Lytechinus pictus: one gene and its partner. The protein of the gene in region 1 interacts with the protein of each later gene in a biochemical or structural test. Links are inferred from orthologs where the notes say so. Each region holds a gene or a part of one and is shown in the gene's direction. Other genes may lie near its edges.

The links.
Region 2: the proteins of glutaredoxin-related protein 5, mitochondrial-like (region 1) and bolA-like protein DDB_G0274169 form a complex in vitro, tested with the Homo sapiens proteins (2 studies listed by BioGRID). The link is inferred for Lytechinus pictus from reciprocal best matches to the Homo sapiens genes GLRX5 and BOLA1.

The regions. Positions count from the first base shown.
Region 1 is NC_087251.1:13,199,076-13,203,007, reverse strand, and holds the start of glutaredoxin-related protein 5, mitochondrial-like, read left to right. Parts: upstream 1-1,423; 5' UTR 1,424-1,434; coding exon of another isoform or gene 1,435-1,567; 5' UTR 1,568-1,976; coding exon 1,977-2,253; intron 2,254-3,003; coding exon 3,004-3,185; 3' UTR 3,186-3,932. Other genes in the region: putative OPA3-like protein CG13603, read right to left, coding at 1,435-1,567.
Region 2 is NC_087262.1:22,486,842-22,490,773, reverse strand, and holds the start of bolA-like protein DDB_G0274169, read left to right. Parts: upstream 1-1,185; 5' UTR 1,186-1,254; coding exon 1,255-1,264; intron 1,265-3,932. UniProt on the Homo sapiens protein: Acts as a mitochondrial iron-sulfur (Fe-S) cluster assembly factor that facilitates (Fe-S) cluster insertion into a subset of mitochondrial proteins. Probably acts together with the monothiol glutaredoxin GLRX5. May protect cells against oxidative stress.

The DNA.
Region 1 (3,932 bases):
GCACACAATTCGGGGATTTTGATGAGAAAGGCTGCATTTTGAGGCCGTCACATGAAATGCCCTAAATTCATTATTTTTCCACCATTTTGAGTCAGATGTTTTTATGAATACCTGTCTATGTATTGCATGTGAAAAGTTCGTGCTCGTTGCGTATCTTCTTTTACTCGAATCGCGCAGATACGCGTGTGCGCAGACAAGGGGGACTGCGCAGACTTGGGAGAACTTGCCATACTAACCGTAACCTGCGCATTTACGCATCAGGAAATAGTTTCAATATGCTTAAAAGTTTCCAATATCCTTCCAAAGCTAATGACCAAAAATCACATGCAAAGAGGGGTGGGATCAGAAGCTGATATCTTTAAAAAAAGAAAAGATACTGATCTTGGCGTAAAATATTATATCTTTATTTTTTGTAGGTATATGTGTACTGATGGTGGAAGTTTGATGAATTCATGAGAAAATTTTGTTTGTAAATTGAATTTATGAAAAGTGTTACTTTGGCAATTAATACGATCCACTGACATACAGCAGACGACTCTGGATAGACTCTGCTCCAGTCAAATAATCACCTACAATGGAAGTCCTAAGTCAGTCAAAGGGGTTTTTTTTTCTTCAGATCACAATATCCAGTATTACATCCAGGACACACTTGGCCTAAGGTGGATGTAGACCCACCCAAGGGTTCATCACATGCCGCCACGCACAGAAAAATCAAGCCAAAGAAGTCGTGTGTTGTGGACCCAAGAAGTGAGATCCCAGCACGCGCGACCCACTAGTTAGAAATCCACTGCCAAACGCGGTTCGTGGTGCGAGGTTAGTATACTAATACTAACCTCGCAATACGTGTGAGTGGATGTAGACCCTAAGTGCACGTACACTAAAGGGTTAGATCAAAGTCTTATTCAAACAGATTTCCGTTCTGTGATCCCAAAACTCAATTGCCAAAAAGTCAAAACCAAAGGCAATCTATTATTATTTGATTGTTTGAGGGCGTGGCTCTACTTAACATAGAAAGAGAGGGGGAAGTTTAATTTTCAAGGTTTGATACAGTCATATTTTCACTCACACTAGTGCGAGGTTAGCATTAGTATACTAAAGCATTTTTTTTGTATTAGGCCTAGTAAGTAGTATACATTTTAATTGAAATGAAGTGATTGAACACGTCATTGAAATTTGAAGTCAATTCAAATTTCAATGACGTGTTCAATCACTCCATTTCAATCAAAATATGTATCAAACCTTAAAAATTAAACTCCCCCCTCTCTCTCTATGTTGTGTAGAGCCACGCCCTCAAACAATCAAATAATAGATCTCTCAGTCTCAATCACATTGCGTTGCATTATCGCCATATCGGCAATAAGCAATTCCATTCTGGGCTTTAGTTTATCACAGTCCCATATACTGATATTGATGTCTGATGATATTATTACTTACACTGGGCAGGAGGCATGCACACATATTTCCTCATAAATGGACTATTCCTAGCCATATTTCGAATCGCTTTGGACATGGGTTTGCTGATCTGCTTCACTGCAAGAGTTCCAAGTTTTATTATCGGGAAAACCATTTTTACAAGAAAGTTACCACCTTTTCTGACGTAAAAAAATTGCAGAACATTATCTGCCGGAACGTTTACAATAGTCTTTTTGTAGTCATTTCTAAATTTTTCTCGTACATTTTTTATTGATAAGCCAAGTCTGAAAGTATTTCAAATTAGTATCCGAGTGTTTAAATTGTAAGCTTAATTTAAAAAATAGAAAAAAATAATCATGATAAGATAACGATTAATGAGGTATGAAATAATTTTTAAAATCACATTTCCACGATACCTACGTAAATAAAAAGACTAGTTTTTACATGCCTCAGAAATTGCGTAATTTTTCATAATCTCCACTTCGTCATAAATTCTGTCTCTTTTGCTTCATTAGTTCATATTTTCATAATTACATCACCAGCTTTAATCATAGAAAAAGATCATGTCGCTGTTTACTCAAATTATTCGGCCGTCTTCGAGGCTTTTTCGTAGTTTCCAGGCGACCGGTCTTTCACTCTGCCAGCTACGATTGCTTTCATCGGAGCTGAAAGAGCGGATCGACGGGCTAGTTCAGGGGAATAAGGTGGTCGTGTTTATGAAGGGTGTTCCAGAGCAGCCGCAGTGTGGATTCAGCAATGCTGTTGTACAGATCTTGAGGATGCATGGAGTGGACAGCTATGAAAGTCATAACATCTTAGAGGATGATGACCTGCGGCAAGGTATTTAACATGGCAAATAGTAGACAGCTGGCAGCCGTCTGTTTCGAGGAGTTTTTTAACTTTTTTTTTTTTTTTTATTTCTCCTCGGTGAGTGAAGCCAACGGAGTTCAGCTGAACAACCAACATAACAGAGACCGAAGCTTTTGGTCTAGGCAAATAGTTGCTTCCCCCTTTTCCCCATTTTGTCGTCACTGTTTTTCCGTAACATGTTTTGCTTTGAGTATGTTGAGTTTGAATATTTTTATTTTCTACAAGACTGAACGTTACATTATTTACGGTAGTTAGATCTTTGTTACATATTCAAGTTTTAATGAATACCAATATAAAGATTTTTAGAAAGTTTTTAATTCTCGTATAGATACATTGACATTTGGCAATCTCTTCATTAAACTTAATTTAACTTGCAACTCATCAGTCATTAGCTCACATAAATTAAAAAAAAAGTAAAACGTTGATCGATAAAGACAGATTGATCAAATTGATATTACTCAGTCATACATGCACATGCAGTTATATTTTGGTTGAATCGATCATAACCTGATAATACTGTTGGCCTCTAAAATCCAGTCATTACAAGAAAATGTGAAAAGGAAAATTGGTCTTTTGTATTGGGATAGGGAATTTTTTGAAAAATGAGGAACAGGAATTAAATTACTGGAGACTTGGCCAAATATTTTTTTTTTCATTAGATTTTTACAATTGGATATAAATCTGCTAAAAAATATATCATCTAATTGTTCAACCACACAGGTATCAAGGAATACTCAGAATGGCCGACAATCCCTCAGATTTATTTGGATGGTGAGTTTGTAGGAGGATGTGACATCATGATTCAGATGCATCAGACAGGTGACTTGATTGATGAACTAAAGAAAGTCGGAATCAGATCAGCGTTACTCGATGCACCCAAGGAAGATGAACCATCAAAATGATACTTAAATATTTTGGAGGATACTTTTATCTTGGACAATTCATGAAAACTGGAAAATCCACTTTGAATAGTTGGAATAACAGTGATAGTATATAATCATGTTTTTTTAAAGATTTCATAACGCAGGTTACTGGTATTCATTTTACCTCTGCATGAGTGGGGGCATCTACATGTAGCTCTTAATATAGAAATATGGAAACTCGCACAAGTGTTTATAGTGATGGCACTAGAGAGTCTATGGGCATTTTGTTGCCTTAAATTTGAGCTCTAAATAAAAAATAAATAAAAAGTAATCCTTGTTAGGTCACTGAGCTTACCTTGAACATTGAGGGGGTGGGGCAAGTAATCCCTGTAGGTGTTTCTCCCACCCTGCAAAGGTAGAGCACCCCCCCCCCCTTTCATCTGTAAGGTAGTGCCAACTCGTTGGATATAGCCTAATGCTTGGTGTATTCGATTTCATAAAATTTAAACCATTAACATTGTTCATTGACACCAACAATTTGGGATTCGAGATATTATGATTGACCTTATTACAGTTCTGTGCATCAGCCCTTTATTTTCAATGTATTTTTGTTTTTAATTTGGGTATGACTCAAGTCTTGATTGATATTATATTTAGGTAACCTTTGTTTTTAGAGGCTTGTTATACTTTCATCTCTGGGGCAAAGCTAAATTAACTGATTAGCTGTCCTACTATATGCTTGCTACAGGCTCTTTCTAGACAAAGTGAGATAATGGATTTCATCAT
Region 2 (3,932 bases), on another chromosome or scaffold:
AATGTATTGTATTGGTTTTTTTTTCAATGTTTTTTTTTAATTGTATCTTGTCCATAATGATGATGAGATGTAAAATGCATTTACTTTGATGTTATTGTGGAAATAAATGAACTGAAAAACAATGAAAAGTTGCGAGTGAATACAAATTTTGTGCTAGATTTGACATATCAGATATTTCACCCTTCACCCCCGCCCCCTCGCCAATACGCCACTGATGGGCGTAGATCCGCTCGCGCTTTCTCGGGGGGAGGGGGGGGGTGGCGCTTTGTGTTATTACGTAATATCTCCCAGATGAATAGAACTTTCTGCGGATCGACCCCGGGGATCGACAACATTGATTATTCATATTTACATAATGTATGTAGAATCTGATTTGACTTTTATATACCCATCGTTGTTTTTATATTAATATGACTATGTTGACAAACTGTTGATCTGAGCATGTTATCCTGTATCATTAAGATATTAAAATAAATATATAAACAAAATGATGAATAAATGAATAAAATGATTAATTAATACATTCATTCATTCATTCATAAAACTTAATAGGTCTTTAGTTTCATTTTATTTATCCTTTTTATTGTTCTGAAGGACACAACCGGTCGAGCTCATTGTAAAGTGGGGAGGCAATTTCAAATACTAGGACGGGCCGCGAAATTATTTTTTCCATCGCAGTTCTGGAAGCCAATATAAATATTCATATTTTGGCTTCCAGAACAGCGGTGGGAAAAATAATTTCGCGGACGGGCCGGTGAAACGTACGGGGCGGGTTCCATGGCCACGCCCATTACATTTGCTCCGGCAACAATTGCTCCGCTCTGGATTCCACGTACACACTAATGGAATCCCCAACTTCAACCCTGGATTTAACACTAAAACCATTGCAACCCCCGGGTGCAACCCTAACCTTTTCCCCCCCTTTTTTTAAAAAAGAAATTAAGTCCGGAGCATATGTTGTGTCAGCCGGTGTCACCAACGTATGTACTGTTGACCTTCCTTTGAGTATCATATTTTTCTTATTTAATCACCTCGATTGGTGAATCCATTTGTAAATCAGATAATTTCACAAACAATATTTGTTTGCTCTCTGAAAGGAAGGTGTACTGTAACTGTTCCAATTCGCTTGCTGGATTTACTTTTGCTTTTCACTTCTTTTCTCTTCAAACTCTCAATTTCAAAGACACCATAGCAAAACTAATCGCGAAGAGGAGTTCTTCAACGTTAATCGCCAAGGAAAAGGAATTAATTTTAATGATTTCAGGTATTCATGCTCTCTTTTCATTTTCAATTTGATGATTTTTATATCCAAGGGAAATCAATGAAGTATTATTGTAATGAAATTGCCATGAATTTCTTTAGTTTAAAACTTTAACATCTCCAGACGTGATCCATGTCCCGCAAAAAAAAAATGGCTTTGCCTTTGCCTTTGGCTTTGGTCCCATGGACTGATTTTTAAGTTAGTTTAGAACTTTTGCAGGGTAGATCGTGGAGGGGGGGGGGGGGGGGGGGGGGGGGGGGGGCTCGGGGAACAGGTGTCCCCCGTGTCCTCTTCTTCCCCTCTGAGTACAAACCATTTTCTGGTGTATTATCTAGTCTTGAGGACGCAATGATGATGACTTTTAAAATAATGAAATATACTTCTTCATCATTGTCTTGACGTCTTGACACTCCCATCTGCCCATATATATAGTCGCAGAAGAGAAGGACCAAAACTAGTATAATATATACTAACCTCGTACACCGAACCGTGTTTGACCCTTGATTTCGAAGTAGTCGGCAAACATCGCTTCATTGCTGAAGTAATATTTGCCGAAACTCCTTCTCGCTACTCACCGGGGCTCTTTCCGGTAAGTAGCAATACATGATTAAAAAATTAAAAATGTAATTTGAATATAATAATCGGTCAAAAAGAGCAAATTTCGCTTACCTCGGCCTGGAAAGTAACTTCGCTTGTCTCTTCTACGGAAATACAAGGAGGCCCGTTGGTGGCGCTAATAAATTTCACAACTAAGCTTGTAACCGATTTTGCAATCGGCGACCGATTCCATTCGATTTCACCACAATCGGCAATCACTTGCCGATCTTCGATCATGCCCCTTGAAGGAAAAAATCGAAAATTAAAAATCGGCGTAGATCTGGTTACAGTGCGTGATCGCTCAGAACATATTTCAAGATTGTTTTTGAGGTGCTAGCTATTTAGAGGTCGCATTATTCAGGGAGAAAGACGCGGTATTATCTATGGCGATGTTTAAGAGGATAGATATCTTCTCTTCCAACTCATGGTGATAGCGGATGCCGCCGTGAACTTTGAAAGGTCGTATTACCGATGGAGCTCACTGCGTTACTCTCTTACATCGTTTATGATGATATACATTTTATTTTCAACCTCGTGGTGATAGCGGACCCCGCCGTGAACTTTTAAAGATCGTGCTACTGACGGAGCTCATTGCGTTACTCTCTTACATCGTTTATAATGATATAAATCTTCTCTTCAACCTCGTGGTGATAGCAGACCCCGCCATAAACTTTTAAAGACTGTACTATTGGCGGAGCTTATTGCGTTGCTCTCTTACATCATTTATGATGATATTCATTTTATTTTCAACCTCGTGGTGATAGCGGAAGCCGCCGTGAACTTTGAAAGGTCGTATTACCGACGGAGCTCACTGCGCTACTCTCTAACCCCGTTTATAATGATATAAATCTTCTCTTCAACCTCGTGGTGATAGCGGACCCCGCCATAAACTTTTAAAGACTGTACTATTGACGGAGCTTATTGCGTTACTCTCTTACATCGTTTATGATGATATACATTTTATTTTCAACCTCGTGGTGATAGCGGATGCCGCCGTGAACTTTGAAAGGTCGTATTACCGACGGAGCTCACTGCGTTACTCTCTTACATCGTTTATGATGATATACATTTTATTTTCAACCTCGTGGTGATAGCGGATGCCGCCGTGAACTTTAAAAGGTCGTATTACCGACGGAGCTCACTGCGCTACTCTCTTACCCCCTTTATAATGATATAAATCTTCTCGTCAACCTCGTGGTGATAGCGGACCCCGCCATAAACTTTTAAAGACTGTACTATTGACGGAGCTTATTGCGTTACTCTCTTACATCGTTTATGATGATATACATTTTATTTTCAACCTCGTGGTGATAGCGGATGCCGCCGTGAACTTTAAAAGGTCGTATTACCGACGGAGCTCACTGCGCTACTCTCTTACCCCCTTTATAATGATATAAATCTTCTCGTCAACCTCGTGGTGATAGCGGACCCCGCCATAAACTTTTAAAGACTGTACTATTGACGGAGCTTATTGCGTTACTCTCTTACATCGTTTATGATGATATACATTTTATTTTCAACCTCGTGGTGATAGCGGATGCCGCCGTGAACTTTGAAAGGTCGTACTATTGACGGAGCTCATTGCGTTACTCTCTTACATCGTTTATGATGATTTACATTTTATTTTCAACCTCGTGGTGATAGCGGACCCCGCCGTGAACTTTTAAAGATCGTGCTACTGACGGAGCTTATTGCGTTACTCTCTTACATCGTTTATGATGATATACATTTTATTTTCAACCTCGTGGTGATAGCGGATGCCGCCGTGAACTTTGAAAGGTCGTATTACCGACGGAGCTCACTGCGTTGCTATCTTACATCGTTTATGATGATATACATTTTATTTTCAACCTCGTGATAGCGGATGCCGCCGTGAACTTTGAAAGGTCGTACTATTGACGGAGCTCATTGCGTTACTCTCTTACATCGTTTATGATGATATACATTTTATTTTCAACCTCATGGTGATAGCGGATGCCGCCGTGAACTTTGAAAGGTCGTATTACCGACGGAGCTCACTGCGTTGCTATCTTACATCGTTTATGATGATATACATTTTATTTTCAACCTCGTG